Caenorhabditis elegans: one gene and its partners. The protein of the gene in region 3 purifies or fractionates together with the protein of the main gene of each other region. This does not show direct contact. Each region holds a gene or a part of one and is shown on either strand. Other genes may lie near its edges. The genes, in order: T26A5.6, nuo-5, pyc-1 and Y54E5A.2.

The links.
Region 1: the proteins of pyc-1 (region 3) and T26A5.6 fractionate together in Caenorhabditis elegans (co-fractionation; one large-scale study listed by BioGRID). This does not show direct contact.
Region 2: the proteins of pyc-1 (region 3) and nuo-5 fractionate together in Caenorhabditis elegans (co-fractionation; one large-scale study listed by BioGRID). This does not show direct contact.
Region 4: the proteins of pyc-1 (region 3) and Y54E5A.2 fractionate together in Caenorhabditis elegans (co-fractionation; one large-scale study listed by BioGRID). This does not show direct contact.

The regions. Positions count from the first base shown.
Region 1 is NC_003281.10:6,447,494-6,452,545, forward strand, and holds T26A5.6 (UDENN domain-containing protein), read right to left. Parts: upstream 3,199-5,052; 5' UTR 3,193-3,198; coding exon 3,136-3,192; intron 2,802-3,135; coding exon 2,604-2,801; intron 2,557-2,603; coding exon 2,319-2,556; intron 2,242-2,318; coding exon 2,086-2,241; intron 2,040-2,085; coding exon 1,717-2,039; intron 1,661-1,716; coding exon 1,314-1,660; intron 1,266-1,313; coding exon 1,132-1,265; intron 938-1,131; coding exon 837-937; 3' UTR 519-836; downstream 1-518. Other genes in the region: Histone-lysine N-methyltransferase set-1, read right to left, coding at 3,860-3,997, 4,086-4,273, 4,328-4,566, 4,700-4,863.
Region 2 is NC_003283.11:2,697,260-2,701,992, reverse strand, and holds the start of nuo-5 (NADH-ubiquinone oxidoreductase 75 kDa subunit, mitochondrial), read right to left. Parts: upstream 3,022-4,733; 5' UTR 3,016-3,021; coding exon 2,923-3,015; intron 1,719-2,922; coding exon 966-1,718; intron 1-965. Other genes in the region: Y45G12B.2 (Zinc finger protein-like 1 homolog), read right to left, coding at 3,413-3,535, 4,540-4,733.
Region 3 is NC_003283.11:11,817,263-11,824,230, reverse strand, and holds pyc-1 (Pyruvate carboxylase 1), read left to right. Parts: upstream 1-1,865; 5' UTR 1,866-1,878; coding exon 1,879-1,980; intron 1,981-2,030; coding exon 2,031-2,237; intron 2,238-2,281; coding exon 2,282-2,708; intron 2,709-2,754; coding exon 2,755-3,371; intron 3,372-3,517; coding exon 3,518-3,864; intron 3,865-3,911; coding exon 3,912-4,672; intron 4,673-4,716; coding exon 4,717-5,390; intron 5,391-5,450; coding exon 5,451-5,693; intron 5,694-5,951; coding exon 5,952-6,101; 3' UTR 6,102-6,448; downstream 6,449-6,968. UniProt on the Caenorhabditis elegans protein: Pyruvate carboxylase catalyzes a 2-step reaction, involving the ATP-dependent carboxylation of the covalently attached biotin in the first step and the transfer of the carboxyl group to pyruvate in the second.
Region 4 is NC_003279.8:14,692,354-14,700,159, reverse strand, and holds the start of Y54E5A.2 (Recep_L_domain domain-containing protein), read right to left. Parts: upstream 6,007-7,806; 5' UTR 5,991-6,006; coding exon 5,921-5,990; intron 5,846-5,920; coding exon 5,571-5,845; intron 4,840-5,570; coding exon 4,608-4,839; intron 3,717-4,607; coding exon 3,622-3,716; intron 3,576-3,621; coding exon 3,458-3,575; intron 2,985-3,457; coding exon 2,813-2,984; intron 2,720-2,812; coding exon 2,692-2,719; intron 2,216-2,691; coding exon 2,037-2,215; intron 1,405-2,036; coding exon 1,302-1,404; intron 1,255-1,301; coding exon 1,157-1,254; intron 911-1,156; coding exon 659-910; intron 175-658; coding exon 113-174; intron 1-112.

The DNA of each region.
Region 1 (5,052 bases), on a different chromosome or scaffold from region 3:
GGGTGATTTACTATCAAAGATACATTTTTCGAATTATTTTTGGGGTCACAAAATTGTAGTTCTAAATATTTTAGCTAAAATTTATAACTTTCTTCTACGTATTCCTCAAATGAAAACAAAATACATAATTGTTGTGATTTTCGGAAAAGAAAAGCAAAAAATCAGGGTAAAGTGTATCTTTGCGTACGTGTAGAGGAAAGGAGAGATAAGAGGAGTAGACAAAAGGGCAAAGTACAACGAACATGTGTCTCCCACGAGGGACAAAAAGAGGAGAGACTACAAATCTGAACGTCTACAGTGCAAAGGTAGCTTAGTGACGTCACAGGAAAACAAAGTTTGTAGGGGGTTCCTGGGAAGTTTGAAAAGTTTGTTGAATTTTAACATTATCAATTGTAAATTGTGCTTTTAAAATGTGAATAAGAAAACTGGAAAAAATATTATCCGAGTTTTTGAAAAAAAAGTTTTCTCTTCAACTAAATATTAAACGTTATTTGTTTGCCTCTTCAACTTGTCTACGTATTTAAAATCAAAACATTAATGGTCACAGATCATAAATCACAATTCTATCATTAGAAGAAAGTAATATATAAAAGGATGTTCATCTTCACCCGTATATTAAACCAATTTTTGAGTTTAAACAAATGCATAGTTATATTGATTACATGAAAAACAAACTGATTAGACTTACATAAACCGGATGAAAACGATTCGATCATTAAGAGATCAAATTGAATGGAACACAAACAAAACAAAGGAAATATGACAGAAATTCTAATTACAATAAAAAACTTTAAAAGATGATAAAATGCCCATTATACATATTTGACTTTAATAAATCACTCAGATGGCTCCTCTGCCTCTTCAACACCTTCTTGTGCGGTTGCTTTTCGATTCCACCAGTTTGAGAATTTTGCTTTGACTCGACTACCGGTTTCTCCTGAAAACACGATCGAGTTAATCACTTTAGTATTAAAAATATTTTTTTCGTTTTGGCAAAATGTCAGTTTTGTAAATTTTGAACATTTTGAATAATTCAAAGCAATGAAAGCTATGCCCTCAATTTTTTACTGCTACTTCATTTCTCGAAATTTTTTAGATGCTATATTAATTTCCAAACCCGAAAAAAATTACCAATGGTATTTCCTAAATTCTTTCCGGCAGTATTTACAGTTCCAATAACTTTTGAAGCTCCTTCAACTCCATTTACGGCATGTTCAAAACGAAGATACACGTCATAGACTCCCATTTGTTCCGAGAACATGTGCCTGAAATATTCAGATTGAAAAATGTATTCATGTTCTGAAATTCCTCACCCTGGCGCAACAGATGTTAAATCTTCATGTTTGTTTGCAACCCAAATTTTGTGATTTTTAGTTCTCCGCCATTCGTTTACAAAAGCGATTCCAAAATGAGGTATCGCTGCTTGTAGATCGGAACGTGACGTGGCAACGAGGCCAAGAAGATAGTTTTTCATTTGTAAACGAATCCATTCATCTGATCCATCGAATTCAGCATTTGAGGATTTAACCTGTTCTTCGACTTTTTTGAGAATAAAATCAGCGAATCGAAGATCTGCAGTAGTTAGAGAAACTACTCGTTCCAATGCTGTGTCGTTGACAAATTCAATGTGATTATGGACAAGAGAACCGTCGTCTTCGATCTGAAATTACTCAAGTTTAGTTAGAAACCTGAAAATTGTTAATTTAAAATACAAACCTTCACAATAACATCAAATAAATCCTTTTTCATCGCAAATAAGGCATTCGTAGCTCCAAATATACAACTCTGAGTCTTCGGGACTAAATCCATTGATTGAATTGATAGATATGGATCAAATGATGATCCTTGTGTGAATAAGCTTATAGGAAATCCACACGAATCCTTTTCTTTCAATGGATCATCATGTGAAAGCTGAACACCAACCTCCTCTTCTATCACTATTTCTTCGCTTTTTCCTTCAGTTTTTGAATTTACATTTTTGAAATGACAACTCGTATTGACCCCGATTGTTGCGTAGAACAGACCTTCTTCCAAAAGCTCTGAAATTCAAAATTAAACGATTTTAAAATGTCTGTATATTCTTACTTGGAAACATTGAAACAATAGCCAGCATAGTTTCTCCTAATCGTAATCCAGTTGGTGCAATGAATAAAACTTTCCGCTCTAATAGGAATAATTTAAAAAGCAGTAGAGCTCGGTGACGGAATCGTATAAAAAGCTCTTGAATTGATATTTCTGAAACTGATATCGCTAATTAAAATGTGAACATTTGAAACTATTTTCATGTTTTATTTTAGTAAATTGATTCAATAACGTACCATGATGAGCTAGATTTGAAAAGTATTCTCCAGTAAGATTTTCGTCGAATATATCGCAAAGATTCGTATACATTTGAGCAAGAACATCAACTTTCGAAAAATCTTTTTGTTCAAAATATGCCTGAGTTATTACTTCCAATTTTGCTTTTAATGGACCAAAAAGTGGTATTCTTGAAAGAACGCATACAGCTTTTTGAACACTGGTCCTAGTCACATCTTCCGATTTATTTATTAATTCCTGCAAAGTCAAACAGTTTTTATCTGAAGAGTCATATAAAATCTCACTTTTGCATCGATTTGTCTGTAACACGAGATGCCAAATATCGATTTTCCAGGTTCTTCTCTAGATGGAAGCAAAAAGAATATTGTATCTTTTTGACAATTATGTACACCATCCGGCAACGCCAGTGATGGAAGAAGATGCCATTCATCGGGTAATCCCGATTCGCCCGTGCCATCGAGTTTCGGGTGCGAGTATTCTACCTACAAGATTTATTTTATTGATTTTTTACAAATTGAGTTGATGAACTTGAATTTAAATCTTCACTCCATATAATACAAAACTTAATAATTAAATGTATATGAAAAATACTGCAAAAATAGTAAAAAGTACCAAAAACGTTCTGCTTTTTGTGAAATGTTCGATTGACTGTAACATTTATTTCAAATTAACTGCAAAATATACGCGATTTTGTAGTTTATATTGCCATTTTATTACTTTCCTGCACATTTATGACCTTAATCGTTACGTTTTCGAGTTTATTCTTTTATGTATCATATTTTCCTGATTTTTCTGATAGTTTGCCATTTTTGTTACCTCACATCCTCGCTTGTGATGGAAACTAACGACGACCACATTCAGAATTGGATGCATCTTTCTCTGAACTGTAAGCTCTAATGTTTTCCCGAATTTTACCATCTTCAGATAAATTCTTATGGTTGCTATACCGGAAAACGGAATATACTCGTAAAAAAAGATTAATGTAGCAAAATTTATGGATTTTAATTGTTTTCAAAATGAAAAATTGAGATTTGCACGCTGATAATGTTTTCCGATAGGGATGGAAACGATTTTAGCGTTAACCAGTCATTAAAGTAGGTTTCCAACTCGCACCTCATGTACACCACAAAAATGAATAATTCAGGAAAAAATGGGCGATCAACGAGAAATTTACAGAAGAATTAAAGATATTAAAGGCATTTCGTAGTGGAACAAGTGAGGAGATTTTCAGGTTTCAATGAAAGGAAAGAACAAGGGACTTTTCAAAAGTCAACAGGAAAGGTACAGAATTGGATACTCACGAGATCCAGATTATCATAAATGAGCACGTTATTACGGCTCGTTATTGAGATTTGTTTCAGGTTTGATTCGCTGTGAGAATGAGAAAAGGCGGTTGAAAGAGACGAAGTAATGAGAGGATTGGGCACGAGTGCCGTGGAAAATATGAGAAAATGAAGGGAATTACAGTAGTATACTCGTGAAGGTAAATGAACATTTGAAATGGATTGAGCAGATCGAAGAGATGTTGTGGAGCAACATATTATGTGTTCACAAGCCATGGATTCTTGGCAATCGTCTCTGCTGAACGATCTCCATAATCGTAGAGAAGCTCTTCTCCTTGTGCGATTTGACGCCTGGCGACGAGAATCAGGTGATGCGACCCATCGATTTCCACCACCTGGAATGTTTAGTTTTGGAATTGTTATTTACATTTTTTTAATTTATCAAAGACTTTCTTAATAAATTTCAAATTTTGAAATGCTCACTTTCGTTTTGAGATTCGGCCTTAACACGGAATGATTGATGAGTCGTCCTTTCCATGGAGATTCTTTTGTCGCATCGATACACCATTTTTTATTGTTGTGCTCAAAAAAGTACATGTAGGATCCGATTTCCTCATCATTCGAATATTGTTCTTCTATCACTTTTGCTTCCGAGTACTCCATCATAACACCTAGAATACTTTTTAAAAACAATATTACAACAATTATCTGTGTTATCTACATACCTCTGTATTCGACAACAAAGTCTCCTTTTTCAAAGTTAACTTTCGTTCGAATTCCTCGCCCCTTCACAACATCTTTGTACACTTCAAGAAGTCGTTCATTAGTCCCCTTGAGTACGGTATCGCGAAGAGCATGTTTAGCTTCATCGCTAATTTGCTTGCTCGTCTTCCGATTACTTCGCCGCACTTGGAAGAATTCTGTGATTTTATGGTTTGAGACATCTTTCACCGACACTCCTTTTCTGAAAGAAAAACTATTTGGAAATTGAAGTTTTCAGCTTGGACAATTTCTGTGAATATGTTGTGAATTCAATTAGAAATATTGAAGTTTTTAAACGTTCTATTACAATCCCTCTTGTCACTAATCAATCATACCTGCTCCTTGTGTTTTTCGACGGTGTCATTCTTCCTGAAGATGAAGAGTGTGAAGCCAAAGACGATGGATTTTCGGAGTTCTCAATATCACTAGATGGTGACGCTGCTGCGGCACGATCCTTTCGCATTCTACTCGTTGCCAGCTTCTTCGCGGCAACTTTCATCCTTCGAGTGACACCGCTGAAAAAATAATAAATTTTGTAGGGTGAGGAGAATAGTAAAAATAGAGAAATTTATAAAGAAGCAAAAGAGGTGTCATAGAAATAATAGAAATATTCGCCCACAATTTATTTTTTTTGTTTTGAAATGGTTGGGTAAAAATATTATAATGTGTTGTTTCAAAAACCCAGATA
Region 2 (4,733 bases), 9.1 Mb from region 3:
TTTCCGGCAAATATCTACTTTAAATGAATTTATTTATCGAAAATAAGCTTTTTAAGTTATTTTCAGAAAATTAGATTTTTTTTTTGATTTTCTCTGAAAAAAAAATCGATTTTTACCGATAACAGCTCAAAAAGCATTAAAAATTCATAAAAAGTAAAATGTTGCCGAACAATTTTTTATTCCAAACCAGGGGTGTGCGGCAAATTTGCCGATTTGCCGAAAATTGCCGACTTGCCGAATTCGGCAAATTTAAAAAAACCAGCAATTGCCGATTTGCCGAGCTCGGCAATTTTCAAAAAAGTAGATTTTCCGAATTTGCCGAGCTCGGCAAATTTCGAAATTTGCCGCACACGTGAAAAATTTGACAGTACAATTTTGAATAAAACTATTGATTTTTTAGCCAAAAATTTAGTAAAATGACACAAAATTGAGCTATTTTGATGCTTAAACAGACATACTACGCGGAACTTATTCAGAAACCAGATGTGTGTTAAGAATTCAGTAGTTTTGGTGCTCCACAAAACATAAAAAATATCAAATTTTTCCGAGTTTGTTAAGCACGGCAAATTTGCCGAATTTGCCGAATTTGCCGAGCTCTGCAAATTTGCCGAATTTGCCGTGCTCGGCAAATATTGAAAAAAGAGATTTGCCGAATTTGCCGAGCTCGGCAAATTTTGAAAAACCAGCAATTGCCGATTTGCCGAGCTCGGCAATTTTTTCCATTTGCCGCACACCCCTGTTCCAAACTAGACTACACAATTTTCAACTTTTTAATTATCAAAATTCAAAAAATCTGTAAATTTTCGATTTTTTTCAGAGAAAATTGAAAAATATCGATTTTTTCTCCAAAAAAAGTGAAAAATGGCCAAAAATACAATTTTTTTTTCGACATTCGAAAAATATCGATTCTTCTTCAAAATTTTCAAAGCTATGTCTTCCAAAAAATTCGTTTCAAAACTCCGTACATCGTTGATTTTCGGAATAACCCGCAGAAGCTCGCCAGTCCGATGCGAAAGCACAATATTCGATCCGGTCGCATCCATCACATCAACACTTTCAGTCTTTCTAGTCTCCCAGGGCCGGGCCGTAAACGCGTACTGCTTGCTGGTAAGAGCTCCGACCGGACAAATATCGATAATATTCCCAGAGAGCTCTGAAGCAAAAAATTTCTCGACGTAGGTGCCAATTTGAAGATCTTGTCCTCGTCCGGTGGTGCCGAAATCCGGAAAAGCGGCCACTTCATTAGCGAATCGGACACATCGAGTACACTGAATACATCGAGTCATCACAGTTTTCACCAACGGCCCGATATTCTTATCCTCGAGAGCCCGTTTTCCATCGAATCTCGACTGAAGCCGCCCACGATCGGATCCGAAATTCATCGCCTGATCCTGTAGATCACATTCGCCACCTTGATCACAAATCGGGCAGTCGAGTGGATGGTTGTTGAGCATGAACTCCATCACCCCTTCGCGAGCTTTTTTCACGAAATCCGAGTTGGTTTTGACTTTCATTCCGTTCATGACAGGCATCGCACATGATGCGACAGGCTTCACCGACTTCTCCACCTCTACCAGACACATTCGGCAGTTTCCGGCAATTGAGAGACGGTCGTGATAGCAGAAGCGTGGGATGTCGACGCCGACGAGCGCGCACGCTTGGAGAATCGTCATTCCCGGGTCGACGAGCACTTTTTTGTCGTCGATGAAGACTTCGACCTGGAAGAAAATGAGGTGATTTTTAGTGGTTTTTTTGTTGATTTTTACAGGGAAAATCGAAAAATTTCGATTTTTTTTATTTGAAAATCGAAAAAAAATTTTTTTTTTAAGTTTTTTGTTTTCGGAAAATGGAAGAAATTTGTTTCGTTTTTTTTTTTTTTTAATTGAAAAAAATGTTGGGTTTTTAGGTTCCGGAAAATCGAAAAATATATATTTACGATATATTTTTAAAAATTGAAAAAAAAACGAATTTTCGATTTTTTACAGGAAAAATCATCGAAAAAATTCTGATTTTTTGAACTGAAAGCTAAATTTTTAGATTTTTTACAGGAAAATTAGATTTTTTAAAATTGAAAAACGTAATTTTTCGATTTTTTTTTAATTGAAAAACGTGCTTTTTTCATTTTATGTTTTTTTTGTTGATAAATTTAAAAACGAAATGTTTCGATCATTTTAATTGAAAAAAAAAATTAGATTTTTTACAGGAAAAATCGAATAATTTTTATTTTTTTGTAAAAAAAATTGTCAGAGAAAATCGAGCATTTAAAAAAAAATTCGATGTTTACAGGAAAAATCGAAAAAATTCCGATTTTTGAACCGAAAAACTAAATTTTTGATTTTTTTACAGGAAATAACGATTTTTTTTTCAATTGAAAAACGAAGAAATTTAGATTTTTGTTTAAATTAAATAACGTACTTTTTCGATTTGTTCTTTTTTCGGAAATTAAAAAAACTAAATTTTCCGTTTTTTAAAGGAAAAATCTAAAAATTTTTGATTTTTCGAACCGAAAAACGGAATTTTTCGATTTTTTTAATTGAAAAACGAAAACATTTTTGATTTTAGTAAAACATCATTGCACCATGTATTTTGTAAAATTTTCAATTAATAATTAGTGCCAAAATATAGAAAATCACTCGATTCATCGAGAAAATCACATTAATTTCGGATGAAACAGTTGAGAAAAAGCTCAAAACTGTCTTTTTGAGCGCTTTCTCCAACATTTCAGCTAAAATCAAAGTGATTTTCCGATAAATCGAGCGATTTTCTATATTCTGGCACTAATTTTAAATGGAAAATGATGGAAAATTGGAGATTGTAGATGAAATTAAGCTTTTTTTTTGAATTTCTCGCTAGTTAATTCGTTATTTTTTTGCCAAATCCATTTTTCTTCAATTTTTCCGCCGAAAATTCCAGTTTTTTCACCTTTTTCGGTGGAGCCGGAGCCGCCACCGAAAGCGATCTCTTCTGTTGAGCCTTCGACACTCCGCGGACAATTTGTCCACCGACGCGATGCATGGTGCTCTGAAATTGCAATTACTTCCTGAAATTTTTTCCGAAAAATTGAGAGAAAATAAATATAAATCTCGGTAGAAAATTAACCGAATTTCAATTTTTAGAGGAAAAAAAATCAATAAATACCATTTAAACCACCGAATATACAAGAAATAGGGCAAAAAAAAAGAATAAATAATTAATAATTAATTACAACCAAGTTTTAGCTAGTTTTAGCTAGTTTTTAGCGAAAAAAATCGAAAAAAATCAGAAAAAATCCCGTTTGTTAGCATCATTAGCAGGCGAAAGTAAAAATAAAAAATTTTTCGAAAAACTTTTTTTTTCGTTGGGGAATGAGTAGACATTGAATATTACACAGAAAGGGAAGGATATGCACATTTTTTTCAAAAAAAAAAATTTTTTAGACGTGTGGAAGACGAGAATCTTCGACGGCGACGCGAATATTCGGATTGGCCATTGGATCGAAAAGGGGGTCCGATGAGTGCTCGCCGCTGTATCCGGCACGCTTCATCACCATTATAATCTGGAAAAATACAATTTATTTGGAATTAAATGAAGTTAGAATCTAAATTTGCTTGATAAGACTCATAAACACTCAAAATTTGCTTAAAAAGCCATAAAATTCGCTCAAAAATACTCAAAATTCACTCAAAAAAAGTCAAACTTTGATCAAAAAGCCTTAACATTTCCTTCAAAAATACTCAAAAATTGCTCTAAAATACTCAAAAAATTGCTCAAAAAGACAATAAATTTGCTCAAAAAGCCTTAAAATTTGATCAAAATGACTCAAAATTTGCGAAATTTGATTAAAAACACTCAAAATTTGCTCAAAAAGCTCAAAATTCGCTTAAAAATACTCAAAATCGCTCAATTTTAGCTAAAATACACCAATTTCGCCGACTTTTCCGTGTCGCAGCGGTCGGAAATTGACTTATATTTTATTTTCATGAAATTTCATCGTTTATTTTATATTTTTATTGTTTATTACACATTTTTTCGCTATTTAATGTACATTTTAAGCCACACGGCAGACGTTGAGCGCAAAAAATTGTGGGCGGGGTCTGGACCGCAATTCTGCGGCGCGCGATTTCGCAACTCCGCCGCGCTGTTTTTTTGTCAGTCGAAATTTTTTTTTCATGAGATTTTATCGAAATATCTCGAAAAAATCACGATATACTGGAAATTTTATTCGAAAAATGCGAAAAAAAACTTAAAAACTTGTAAAAAATAGTCGCGCGGTGGAGTTGCGAAACATCGCGCCGCAGGATTGCGGTTTAGGCTCCGCCCTCACGTCGTTTTCGGTTTATATGCTTCAAATGTACACTAAATAACGAAAAAAACGTGAGAAAAACGATAAAAATTGAAAATAAACTGTGATAAAATCAAATAAAAGCGAATTTCCGACAGATGCAACACGGAAAAGTCGGCGAAATTGATGTATTTTAGCTAAAATTAGGCCATTTTTTCAGGGAAAAAATATTTTTTTGGCGTTTTTGAGTCTATAAAAGTCGCTTTTTAAAATCCAACCGTAATCAAAGCCAAAACGGCCAGGAAAATCACGAAAAGCGCGATTTTTTTCGCGGAAGCCCGTTCCTGTGGGACCCCGGAGCCGCCATGTTTTGCTCTCCAGAGCCCGCGCATCCAATCCATCGTCGGGCGCCGTTTATATTTATTCTCCTCGTTATCGGCGTCACGGAGCTGTAAAAGTGGACGAGTATCGC
Region 3 (6,968 bases):
TGTTTCTTTCTCACAAGTCTTTTTTCCTCTACGTTTACGAGTCTCTTATGCCAACCTCGTGATCGCCAGTGATTGCCGAAAGTGCGAAGAACGATCAAAATTTGAAACTTATCGAAGCTGGTTCTGTGATGTTTTGATTAGTACGAAATAAGTCATGTCATGATAGATCGAAAATTCATAGATTCTGAGATTTTCGATTTTCAGCGATAATCTAGCTATCAGATAAAATTTATGTAAACAATTTTCACATAGTCTTTCAGTTTCCAACCCTGAATTTCTAATTTTATCATTGAAATTCTTTCGTTAAATGGAATCCAAATCTTGTTTATTGGCCAGTTTAATTTTATTAAATGTGTTTCATTGATCATTAAATATCATTATGTTGATCTTTAAAGTGAACTTAATTAAATCATTTTTATTTTCAGCCCTTTACGAAAATTAACTATCCCACTACGACCAAAAACAGTTTTGAACATTTTGACATTTTGAAAAATCGAAGGTTCTGAAGTTTAAATCATTTATCCTCCTCCTCTGCGTCTCAGTTTTTGTGTTCTAGTGTCCACCCGAGTCGACTGATAAGACAAAATGACACAAACACCGTCTCTCGGCTATCAGTTTGTTGTCGCCGCAAATTCATAGCCATGGTCAAAGTGTTGATCTAGTTCTCTTTGAATCTAGATTTTTTTCAAATTTTTAACTTGATTGTGATACTCTAAGACATTTTATATCTTTAAATCCGCAAAATTAAAAAAAATTATTATAGTGCGTCCATAGTCTGCGGAAAACGGGAATTTCCCGCGTGCGGAAGCGTCCATAGTCTGCGGAAAAACCGGAGTTCCTCGCTTTTTTTTTCCTCAAAATTCAAAAAGTAGGCGTGGCCAACCAATCAGCTGTTGTTTCTTGTTTTCCCATTGCTCAGCTTAAAATTTTACAGCCTCTAATTGGTTGAACACGCCCACTATTTTGAAATTGACCAATAACAAAGCGAGAAACTCCTTGTTTTTTTCCGCAGACTATGGACGCTTCCGCACGCGGGAATTCCCCGTTTTCCGCAGACTATGGACGCACCATTAACACTAATCCCCGAGATATCAAAAAAAAAAACTAACGATAGAACAGCAAAAAATATTGGAATATTTGGCCGTGCGGAATAGATATTTAATATGGCATGCTCATAAACCATTCTAAAAACTAATTTTCTAATTTTACAAAAATCCAAAACTGAATGTTGAACGTTCTGTGGCTTCTGTAGTTTCTGTAGTTTCTGATAACTTCCTTCTTTGTTTACTTTTATTTTTTTCAATTTTCCTTATTTTCTCTAGGTTCTTCGTCTGGTCTTGGGTATGCCACGTGGTTCTTCTTTCACATCTCATTTCACCGAAAAAACCTAGAAAATCGAAAAACAAAATATTTTATTTTCTTCCCTTCTCCTATCATTCTATCAATGTTATCAGTACTGTTGTTATTCTTCTCTACAAATATCACTAGGTGGTTCTATGGAGAATGAACAATGATTTTTAAATCAATTAATGTATCTTCATACATACACTCACTCTCATGTGGTGTGACCTCTTGGTCTTTTCAAAATCTCTATTGCTCTGCGTACGTGACCTTTCACATTTTTCACCGTTCTAATTTATCACGTGGTCAACGTGGATACTTCTAAAAATCTCAAATAATGTCCGAATTCCGAAGAAGTTTACCACACTTCGATTCGTTCTTGAGCTTTCTGCTCTCACACAGTAGAAGGTACACCAAAGTAATGTTTCTGTGTCTCTTCGATGTTCACACTATCATTATTGAATAATCTTCATTGGTTGTATTCACCGAATAGGTTCACCGTCTCAAAACTATGCATGTTTCAGATAAACGACAACGATGCGGTTCTCCCGCATCCCACCGATCTTCGCTAATGTCGTCCGACAGACACATTATCGTAACTATGCCAATGGAGTTATCAAACCAAGAGAATTCAACAAGGTATTTCATTTCTTTTTCGTGCTTGAAGATAAATTCGGAAATTTTTTCAGGTTATGGTGGCCAATCGTGGAGAAATTGCAATCCGTGTGTTCCGTGCCCTCACAGAATTGAACAAAACTTCTGTTGCGATTTACGCCGAGCAGGACAAAAACTCGATGCATCGTCTGAAAGCTGACGAAGCCTATCTTGTAGGAAAAGGTCTTCCACCGGTTGCTGCTTATCTGACTATTGACCAGATTATAGAAACTGCCCTGAAGGTTTGTAGGACAAAAATTGACCAAGATTATCGTACCCTTTATAGCACAACATTGATGCTATTCATCCCGGATATGGATTTCTGTCAGAGCGATCTGACTTTGCAGCTGCTTGTCAAAATGCAGGAATAGTGTTCATTGGTCCTAGCCCCGACGTTATGGCTCGAATGGGAGACAAAGTTGCTGCTCGTCAAGCTGCCATTGAAGCTGGTGTTCAAGTCGTTCCAGGAACTCCTGGACCAATTACAACTGCTGATGAAGCTGTCGAATTTGCAAAGCAGTACGGTACACCAATTATTTTGAAGGCCGCTTATGGAGGAGGTGGTCGTGGAATTCGTCGTGTTGATAAATTGGAAGAAGTTGAAGAGGCATTCCGTAGATCCTACTCGGAAGCTCAAGCTGCGTTTGGAGACGGAAGTCTTTTCGTTGAAAAGTTTGTTGAGAGACCAAGACATATTGAAGTTCAGCTGCTTGGTTAGTTTCAGCGGAAACTATTATAATTACATAATATATTTTTCAGGAGACCATCATGGAAATATTGTTCATTTGTATGAGCGTGATTGTTCAGTGCAACGTCGTCATCAAAAGGTTGTTGAAATTGCTCCAGCGCCAGCTCTCCCAGAAGGTGTTCGTGAGAAAATTTTGGCAGACGCTCTTCGACTTGCAAGACATGTTGGATACCAAAATGCTGGTACAGTCGAATTCCTGGTTGATCAGAAGGGCAACTACTATTTCATCGAAGTGAATGCACGTCTTCAAGTCGAGCATACAGTAACTGAAGAGATCACTGGTGTGGATCTTGTCCAAGCTCAAATTCGTATCGCCGAAGGAAAATCTCTGGATGATCTGAAGCTTTCACAGGAAACTATTCAAACTACTGGCTCAGCTATTCAATGTCGTGTCACAACTGAAGATCCAGCTAAAGGATTCCAGCCAGATTCCGGAAGAATTGAAGTTTTCCGATCCGGAGAGGGAATGGGAATTCGTCTTGATTCAGCATCTGCCTTCGCAGGATCAGTCATTTCACCTCACTACGATTCTTTGATGGTCAAAGTAATTGCATCGGCTAGAAATCATCCGAACGCTGCCGCAAAAATGATTCGTGCCCTCAAAAAGTTCCGTATCCGAGGCGTAAAGGTGAGAATTCAATCAAAAAATGAAATCAAAGTACACCAAATCATGTTGATAGCTATCACCATTTTCTCACTGATAAGGAAACCCATTGCCACTGACTGATATTCTGCCTGATGGCTGATCAATGACTAAACTTTAAACTTTTTCAGACAAACATCCCATTTCTGCTCAACGTTCTTCGCCAGCCCAGCTTCCTTGATGCATCCGTCGATACGTATTTCATTGATGAGCATCCAGAGTTGTTCCAATTCAAACCAAGCCAAAACCGTGCTCAAAAGTTGTTGAACTATTTGGGAGAAGTTAAGGTGAACGGTCCAACTACTCCTCTTGCTACTGACCTGAAACCAGCAGTTGTTTCTCCTCCGATCCCATACATCCCAGCTGGAGCCAAACCGCCGACTGGACTTCGTGATGTACTTGTTCAAAGAGGACCAACTGAGTTTGCAAAGGAAGTTCGCAGTAGACCAGGATGTATGATCACTGATACTACATTCAGGTATAAACTCAAAAAGAAAGTAACATATATTAATTTCACATTTTCAGAGATGCACATCAATCTCTTCTTGCAACACGAGTACGTACCTATGATATGGCTGCTATTTCACCTTTTGTTGCCCAATCATTCAATGGTCTCTTCTCACTTGAAAACTGGGGAGGAGCTACTTTCGATGTTTCCATGCGCTTCCTCCACGAGTGTCCATGGGAACGTCTTCAAACTCTTCGCAAACTGATTCCAAATATTCCATTCCAATGTCTTCTGCGAGGTGCCAATGCTATGGGATATTCAAATTATCCTGATAACGTTATTTACAAGTTCTGCGAGTTGGCGGTGAAAAATGGAATGGATGTGTTCCGTGTATTTGATTCACTGAACTATCTTCCAAATCTTCTCGTCGGAATGGAAGCCGTTGGAAAGGCCGGTGGAGTTGTTGAAGCTGCTATCGCATACACTGGAGATGTTACCGATAAGTCTCGTGACAAATACGACCTCAAATACTATTTGAACTTGGCTGATCAACTTGTCAAAGCTCAAGCGCATATTCTTTCTATCAAGGATATGGCTGGAGTTCTGAAACCGGAAGCTGCCAAGTTGTTGATTGGCGCTCTCCGAGACAAGTTCCCAGATATTCCAATTCACGTTCATACCCACGATACATCTGGAGCTGGAGTTGCTGCTATGCTTGAGTGTGCCAAAGCTGGAGCTGATGTGGTCGATGCTGCAGTTGATAGCATGAGTGGAATGACTTCTCAGCCTTCAATGGGAGCTATTGTAGCTAGTCTTCAAGGAACTAAACATGATACTGGTGAGTTACAATATCGTTTGAAAAATGTCTAATTTATATTTAAGGTCTTTCTCTTGATGACATTTCAAAATATTCTGCATACTGGGAGTCAACTCGTCAACTCTATGCTCCATTCGAATGTGCCACCACCATGAAAAGTGGAAATGCCGATGTTTACAAGCACGAAATTCCAGGAGGACAGTACACGAACTTGCAATTCCAAGCATTCTCTCTCGGACTTGGGCCACAGTTCGATGAAGTCAAGCGTATGTATCGTGAAGCTAATCTTGTTCTTGGCGACATAATTAAAGTTACGCCATCATCCAAGATTGTCGGTGACTTGGCTCAGTTTATGGTGCAAAACAACTTGACTCGCGAAACTCTTGTCGACCGTGCCGATGATCTATCCTTCCCAAAAAGTGTCGTTGATTTCATGCAAGGAAATGTCGGACAACCTCCATATGGATTCCCTGAGCCATTGAGAACTAAAGTCCTTCGTGGAAAGCCAAAAGTCGATGGAAGGCCAGGAGAAAATGCTAAGCCAGTTGATCTAGATGCTGTGAAGGTCGAACTTGAAGAGAAACATGGACGTACTTTGTCTGAAGAAGATGTGATGTCATATTCGATGTTCCCAACGGTTTTCGATGAGTTTGAGACTTTCCGTCAACAATATGGACCAGTTGATAAGCTGCCAACGAGACTCTTCTTGACTGGATTGGAGATTGCGGAAGAAGTTGATGTAAGTGATTCTACATTAATCTACATTTCTGAATTTCACGACTTATGAATTTTATTTCAGGTTGAAATCGAGAGTGGAAAAACTCTTGCAATTCAATTGCTCGCTGAAGGAAAACTAAACAAGCGTGGAGAACGCGAAGTCTTCTTTGATCTCAATGGACAAATGAGAAGTATCTTCGTGGTTGACAAGGAAGCTTCCAAGGAAATTGTAACTCGCCCAAGAGCTCTCCCAGGTGTCCGTGGACATATTGGAGCACCAATGCCAGGAGATGTTTTGGAGCTGAAAATCAAGGAAGGCGACAAGGTAATACAACGCATATCTAAAGATGTAATAAATCAATCATGCATCCGGGATATGTATTCTGAATTTCTTTGAAAAACAAAAAAAGACAAATGGGACGAATTCAGAAGCGGTGGGCCCCACAACGGAAATTGTAGGGAAAAACGGAAAGAGATAAATTTATAGCCTTATGCCTCCCACGTTTTTTCTTCTTGTCCTACACAAAAATCACATAAAAAAATGATGGCATAAAAAATGAATATAGGAATTATTTCTTTTCAGGTTACCAAGAAGCAACCCCTATTTGTGCTTTCCGCCATGAAAATGGAGATGGTCATCGACTCTCCAATTGCTGGAACCGTCAAGGCTATCCATGCACCACAAGGAACCAAATGTAGTGCCGGAGACTTGGTAGTTGAAGTTGAACCATGAACTGACATCAATAAACTCGCATTTTGTCTCTTTTTTTGTTAATTCCATTCACCATCACAAATTCCGCCACATCGAAATTATATTTGGCGTTGTGCTATATAGAATGATTAGCCACCACCTTCTCTTTGCCATTCGAACCATCTCAATGTGTATATTCTGTGTATTGCCTCCCCAAAATTTTCTAAACGTCTTCATTGCCAGTAATTTTTCGTTTTCCCTCCACTTTTGCATTTATATTGTTTTCTTAGAAAAAGTATTTATTGCATCGGGTGCTCATTGTCTTTGTGTAGAATATAAACTCGTTCACTTCTCTCTCAATTTTATCACTGAAACTCACCGAAGAGCAATGCAACTCGATAAAGCAACTCGATAAAATCAATTATTACGTAGAAATCTAATGATGGGAAGAGTCGCCATATCATACGCGCATTGGTCTCGCCACGCGAACTGCGAGCTAGCTCGTCTCACTTTACTGACCACTATTGCTGAGAAGATTTTTAACATAAAAATAGGTTGCAATGGAGACTCATAAATCAACAGGAGTTACAGTAATTTCGTGTTTGCTGGGGAAAATGTTTATCTTTAGACTTCTACATAATACCTACGTTAGTGTAAATAGTACTATTCACTACGCCATTTAATTTAAAAAAAACAAAACACAAATTATAGAGACTGAAATATCTGAAAAGAAAACGTATGTTTTAAAGTTTTATTTATTTTACTTGGGAATGGTTTCAGAGAATTTAGAATTTTAAAACAAATTTAGTGCCATTCGATAGCTGATATTATGTACTTCTTCAACGTAAGAGACCATTTTTGCCTCGGACATCTAGAACTCGAGATATTTGCGTCTGAAAATTACTACTG
Region 4 (7,806 bases), on a different chromosome or scaffold from region 3:
TCAGCATTTTACTTTCATTAGACGCGATAAGTTTTCAGAAGTATTAAATTATTGGAATTTTTTGTTGTAAATTCTCACTATTTCAATTTTAATTTTCTTCAAAAACTCTTACCAGCAATTGCCAGCGCCCAATAGAATACAGTATTTTGTATTGCAGAAACCTTCTCGTCAACTCTGAAAGTTCGAAATTTGTTATCAAATATATATTCCCCAAAATTCCAAATTCCATGAAAAGCCTCAAAAAATTCTGTAAAATCGATATTTCTGAAATATCCCGAAAATTCTAAAATCAAAAATTTTTTTTAAAAATCGCATTTTTTTGAATTTTTAAACCTTAAAAAAATTTGAAATTTTTCCGACGTTTTTTCGGACGTTTTTCAACTTTTTTTTTAACTATTCAGACTTTTCCAAAAATTATTTGGCAATAAATCAAACTCCAGGAAATTCTGGAAAATCGATAAAATTCCATTATTTTCAAAAAAAACATTAATTTCCCAGAATTTTCCCAACTAGTAGCAATTTTCGAAAAATTCTGAAAATTGAAAAAAATCGAAATTGTTAAATGTTATAAAAAGTTTCAGGGAAAATTGGAAACATTTGAAAATTGAAAATCTGAAAAAGAAAATCTGAAAAATTCCCAAAAAATTTCCAAACTCACTTTAAATTATGAAAAGTGATTCGAACCTTCTTCCGTTCCTTCGCCAAAATCAAATCAATTTTCATGTGCCACGTGGAAAAGTCAAGAATGAGTAGCTCGCCGCCACGTTGCACGGTTCCCTGCAGCAGACACGGGCGGTTCTTATCGTATTTTTTGGGTTTTCGAAGATCAATTCTCCATTTGGCGGACGTGGTTCGCATATCGTGAACTTCTGAATCCATTCGGATACGGAGATGTTGGTGGGCTCCGACGCTGAAAAATCGATAATTTTGCTCCTGATGATGTAAAAGCGCTCTATCGAACAAGTAGGCATTTTTGTGGAATCGATAATAAAAAATCGATATTGTTAATATCGATTGTTCCAGAAAATTTTGCGATAGAGCACAATTGCATCCGATTGACAATAATTTCCTAATCAAATTTAAACATGATCGAGTCCTTATCAATGTCTCCCATTTTGCAATTGCGCTCTACTGAACTAAGGAAGCAAAAACCCACGTCACTTTCATATTATCCATTCCAACGAGCACATCGATAAATTGCACTTGCTGACACGAATCGGAAACTTGCTCCTCGGATTCCACGTGGACGTCTTCCTAAACGTAGGTATGCCTACATGCCTGCCTGTCTACACTGAACTTACCATCGAAATATTGTGGCACTTGGCCCACTCGTAGCAATTCGTCTTTTGAATATTCGACTTGCAGGACTCTAATTCGATGAACATTCCAGACGTGAATTTGTGCCTGGAAACAGCAGTCGTATCAAAAAAACTGTTAATTGCCAAAATGTAGAGAATTCGATTTCCTATATTTTGTCCATTTACAAAATTTCATTAGCTTTGCTTTCCGCAGAGTTATAAGCGTTTTAAGTTTGCAAGGTAAGTGAGAGAGTGTGTGGCGAGGGGAGAGCGCAGACACCGCAGAAACTTTAAAGCGGTGTATCTCAAAATTGAAAAATGCTCAGAATTTCATGCTCTACAAGATGGGCGAAAAAGATTTTGAAACTTTGGAAAAAAAAAAGTTTTTTAGCATTTTTGAGAAAAATTTCAGCGGGCTTTATCTCGGTGGTAATAGGAGCTACATAAAAGTTGTCAACTAACAATTTGTAGAAAATTTTATGTAGTTTATTTTATTAATTAAAACAAATATTCTGCCTCCCACCCACGCAAAAATACACCTGTTTTTATGATTTCTGTAGCTCCGAATCCGTAAGAGCTACAGAAAACTTGTCAACTAGAAATTTCAAGCAAATTTAAAGTAGTTAAGTTGATTAATTGATACTTTCTTCGTATCTCATTTTTGCGCAAAGATATGGGGGTTTTAAAGAAGCTTTTAACCACCTCCCCTCAAAACCTAAAAATTCCCTTTCAACTTACCCAGCAGCCTTGTTAGCTACAATGAACTTTGGCACCAAATCACTTCGGATATCTCTTAAAATATCCTCAAGCACAATTCTTTTCAACAATGACGAGAACAATGGAATTCCCTGATGAGCATACGGAGGGATTGAGAGCAGTCTGTGAAGTTGGTTCAGTGACTCGCTGGGTTGGTTGGGCTGGAAATTGAAATGGTGAGAGGTGATGGGAATTGTAAAACGAACACTTTGTAGAGAATTTAATTTTCTACAAGTTGCTATCATAGATAACAACTTTTTGATATCAAGTATCTGAACGGGATTAGACAGGTTTTGGGCTAGTCTTCTGGGGGAAGTGAAGCGCTATCTCAAAACTCCTATAACTCGGAGAATTTTGTAGGTGCCAAAAAGTAGTTAACTAAAAGTAGTTAATTCTATAAAGAATCTAATTTGCTACATTTTGCTAGCTAACAATACTTTGAGATCTTACATCTGAACGGAGCTAGAAAGCTTTCGAACTATCTTGGAGGAACTCCTGTATCTCCGCAAAGTTACCTAGCTATCAAAAAGTTGGTAATCTGTAGAGAAATTAATTTCCTACAACTTGTCAGTTGATAACTATTTGGTAGCTTGTACTATTACAAAGCTACAGCCACTTCAAATAACTTCCATCTTACCTGCGCTTCCTTTTCCATTTTCCACTTCCTAATCGACAAATGCCCAACTCGGGTGCGAGCGGAATATTGATTTTCATTGAAAATTTTAAATATGTACTAAAAATAAGAGGTGAAAACTGACCAATCACTAGCAGTCTCATAATCATGTCCACAGATTGAGGTGGGACAGCAGCACGCCGAACAGCAACCCCAATCATCCCAGGAGATGAACAATTGAATATTGTTCTTAGTGTCGTTCACAGAGTTTATTGAAATTTCCAGAGACTCGTAGTTTTCGTAGGTGAAGATTTTATCTGAAACTGTATTTTCAATGGAATTCTCTATATTTTGTCATCTGTCAACTAATTGCCAGAATTTTGATATCTTCCTGATAAATTAAAATGAAAGGGTTGTTAACTAGGGATCCATAAAGAACGTTATATGGATTTTGGAATTTCTGAGTTTTTTCCTTAAAAAATGATCACACGAAAAAGTTGCCAACTAACAAAATATGCTCATTAAAATTCTATACATTTCGGCAGTTGACAACTCTTTGATAGCATTCCTCTGCGCAAAGTTACAAGCTTTCAAAGTTTTCCCAATGCGAGAGTGTAGAGGAGAAGGAGAGCGCTGGCAGTGTCTGCACTCTCCCCCTCCTCCGCGCTCTCTCGCTAATAAAACTTCAAAGCGGGGTATATCTCGGCGGGGAGTAGAGATAGAGAAATCATGGAAAACGAAGAAAGAATCAGAATTTGAATTTCTATACGATAAAGTCAATAAAGCTTACCATTCTGCTCTCCGTCCCCAATAATATCCTCATTCACAAAGTTATAGCTGCTCACAATTTTACCATTCAACTCAATTCCACACATTGTAGTAAATCCTTCAATTTTTCGAGAATGAATCTGTAAATTTTTGAGTTTTTCAGAGAGTAAAGTCCTGGAAACCAACCGCCAGCTCTCCATTGGGGAGCCCTATAGCTTCTCTGTCGGTTTCAGTGGCTCCATGCTCTCCACTCCATCTTGTCACCTTTCCAAAATGCAGGTCTGTGGAAGGTGTAGTTTGGCAAAAGATATAAAAAGGAAAACGGCGTCACAGGGACTGGAATCAAAAATGTGCTCACAATAATTTTCAGTTAATTTGGCTCAATTTCGGGATGATTTACAGATATAAGCTAGTTCTAGATAAACTATACAAGCTTCAAAAGTACTAAGCTTAGGGTTTTTAATGGTACTACATTATTTTAAGTATGATGAAGCTATTGTTTATGGTGCATGATTTGTGGATTTTTAAGCAAAATAGCCTGTAAAATTTTGTAAAGAAAGCTCCATCGGCTGCTCAGATACGAGCTTAAACACCAAGTGGCACCAAAAAACTTGCTAAAAGCCATTTACAACTTAAAAAAATAGCCCGCTCAGTAGCTTCATGTCGGGCTTAAAGGTCATAAAAAGTTGAAAATCAAGCTTTTGCAGGTTTCCAGTTATTTCGATGATATGAAAAACAAAAATTACACCACCAAATTACTACATTAAATGTATTTTTGAAACTGAAAAATTTTATGCTTCTTGAAAAAATGAGAATTTTCGGCGAAATTGTCGAAAATCGCAGGGGGGGGGTCCCATAGCAGTTGGGCGGTCGATTTTTCAACTTTTTGCTCTTTTGCACTCAACTTTTGAGATATCATGATAAAATTATAGATCCATAGGTTTTTTGGTATGCTGATTCCAATTCCAATACTAGTTTTCTATAAAAAAGTAGCTGTTGGGTGCACTGTACCTACTAAGCACCTTAGGAGTACCCTTGAGAGATAATGAAGGCTTGTGATATGTATGCTATGCTTAACTAGACTCATTGAATTCAGAAATAAATTTCTGATACTTTGAGGGTAATTTCAGCTAGTTCGTCTAATTTTCAGCCAAGTTAAATAATACACTCACTATTAATTCTCAAGTAATCCTGAAAATTCGAGACACGTGGCTCCTGTTCACAATCCTCCCGACTACAATAGTGCAATAAATTATTGATTTTTCGAGAGCCGATCGTCAATTTCGTGAAAATCTGAGTGAAATCACGTTCCGGGAATACGTAGTACATTTGATGGAGACCTTCAATTATCGGATGACACGTGGCACATTGCGGTTGGTACGGGAGGCCCGCTTCGCGAGTTTTCTGCAAAATAACGTTGATTTTGATGCAGGGGCAGCGTTTTCTGGAGAATTTAAATATCGGGGGAAGGCGATCTCAAAAAAAAAGGGGCGGGAAAAACAATTGAAAATTTACGCTCCGCCCCTATAACAGGTCTAAATTTTGAACTTTTACACTCAAATCTACAAAATTTTATAGAAAAAAAACGGTTTTTTTCATGTGAATAAGCCCGCAAAAGATAATAAAACACGTGGTCAGAGTGTCCCATTTCGGTGTGATCTTCAAAAAATGCGGGAATTGAGTCGCAGATTTCTCAACAAATTTTGTAAGTGTGCTGGCGACACATTTTACTGGGCAAAAAATTTCCGCATTTTATTGTAGATCATTCAAATTTACGCTACGCCTCTATAACATGTCTAAATTTTGAACTTTAACACTAAAATCTACAAAACTTTATGGAAAACGCCTGACACCACGTGTAAAAGTGCGCTTCACCAAATTTATTTTAATCATTTTTTTTTCTCTTTTGCTCATGAAATGAATTTGCTCACTAGAAACATATAAAATCTAGCAGAAAAACAGCTGCATTTGTCTATGATCTTAAAAATTGATTAAAACTGGTCTTGGCACGATTCGCGAGTGTGCAAACGCGCTCCACCGAACTTTTGCCGTTTTTATAGATTTTTAGGCCCGAAAAGCTAAAATTCAACAATATTATATAAAAATTATCGAATAAATAGAAAAAAAAATTAAACCTGAAAAATGCGAAATCCAATATTAAAGAACCCGTTAGAATCACACAATTCCTTTGATATATGAGGAATTCGAAACGCCGGATTCGATATAAAATATGGTAATTTGTGATAAATCGTCTGATTCCCATTTAACCATCCCAGTGAGTCGAATTCCAAGATTTTTCCGTCGAATAGTATATTGTTGTACTTGTGAACGTTCAGGTAATTCTCAAATCTCCACGTGTCTTTTGATAATGGAATTGAGGAGTACAGGGAGTAGAGTTCCGCTCGTCTTTCTGAAAAAAAAACAGTAGATTTGAGACTTTGCAGAAAGGGGCTGCAAACGCGCTCCAGCGAAGAGGTCTCCTTACCAAACTCGATAACAATTCCATGCACTGTCGAAAAAAGCATAAGTTTCAGAAAATTGAACAACAAAACCATGGTTGGTTTGGAGAAATGAAGCAGATTGATTTTTCAATGGATTTAAAAAGTTTTTACGTGATAAATTATTTTTAAAAACATATTTTTTAAATAAATCGTATCGAAAATTTAATTAAAAATTAAATATACCCCGTGAAATTCTCTACATTTTGTTAGTTAAACACTTTTTGATAGCATTTCTCTGCGTGAAGTTGTGAGCGTTTGAAGTTTTTTGGGGTGAGAGAGTGTGGGGGAGGGCGAGAGTGCAGAGAGATATACTGCCTGCACTCTCCTCTCCCTCCACGCTCTCAACACCGAAACTTAGAAGAGGTGTATCTTTGCAGAGAGGAAAGATACAAAAATATTGTAAAAAGGAAAAATGTTCAGAATTTGATTCTCTATATATTGCAATAAAAACAAATTGTTCGGAGTTTTTTTTAGTTTCTTGTTTTTTTTTCCTGAAATTCAAACTAAAAAGTGTATTTGAGCAGTGTTTTGCTCTACAAAGATATTCTGCATTTATTGGGTAAGAGCCAAAAGTGCCATATCTAACCGGAAGCTTATTCTACCAAATTTTACTTAACTAACAAAATATACGCCTTGAAATTCTGTACATTTTTGCAATTTACAATATTTTAATTGCACTCCTCTGCTCAAAGTGACAGGCGTTTTAAGATTGGCGGGTGAGAGAGCGCGAGGGAGGGGGAGAGTGCAGACACTGCCTGCGCTCTCCCCCTCCCCCACACTCTCTCACCCGCCAAAACTTCAGCGTGGTGTAACTCGGCGGGTAGGAAAGATAGAGAGGTAGTGTAAAAGACAAGAATGTGTAGAATTGGATTTTCTACTGGATAACGTTTTGAGTTTTAGCATTTATGAAATTTATGAAAAATGAATGTTTGAATTTGAATTTTCAATTTTTAGTTTTCCAAATGATATTTCATAATGTTTCCGTCTAGTTTTCATTATCAATTTCCCTATACTCTACTGTCTGAAACTGTTTGTTTTACCACGAAAATGACCAATACCTAGTGAATCATTGGAAAAAAAGAGCATCGCTTCCCTCTCCCGTCTCGCTCTCAAAACACACACACACACAGTTCCTTCCTTTCTATTTGCATGTATAGTTGCATTCTCTACGCAATAAGTCCACCTTTCCGTATGTGTGTGCTCCAAGAGCAACGGAAACTGGATTCAGGTGGTTGCTAACCAACCAATTTCCCCCTCTGGCTTTTCATCCTATAAGGTTTCCAATTTATCACTTTTTGTCTCAGAGAGCATATGTGCCTTTGAATTTATTGAAAAATATAAATTTTTAGTTTGAAAATGTGCAACCTTTGCTAGATGTTTTGCTTTAAAAAGCACTCGCGCTATTTTTTACTTGTTTGTGCGTGGTTTTACGAATTTTTAACTAAATATTTCTTAAGCCCCCTATATCTTCCTGAAAAATGAAGATATCAAAATTTTCTCAGCCAACAAAATATTCTCCTCAAAATTCTCTACATTTTTGCAGTTATCATTGTTTCTCTACCTCTTTTTTCCACAGAGTTACACGCGTTTCAAATTCGACGGGGTGAGAAAGTGTGGGGGAGGGGAGTGCGCAGACACTGCGCTCTCTCCCTCTTCCACACTCTCTCGCCTTCAAAACTTTGAAGCGGTGTATCTCTGCAAGTAAGATAGGTAGAAGCATACTGTAAAAGCAAAATTGTGTAGAATTAGATTTTCTAAAAGATTGTAAAGTTTTGGAAATTTTTTTTTTTTTAATTAAATGTTTTTTTTTTCAAAATTTTCAAAAAGTTACACCACTTCTCAATGTAACTCAATTCCAAATTCCTCTTCA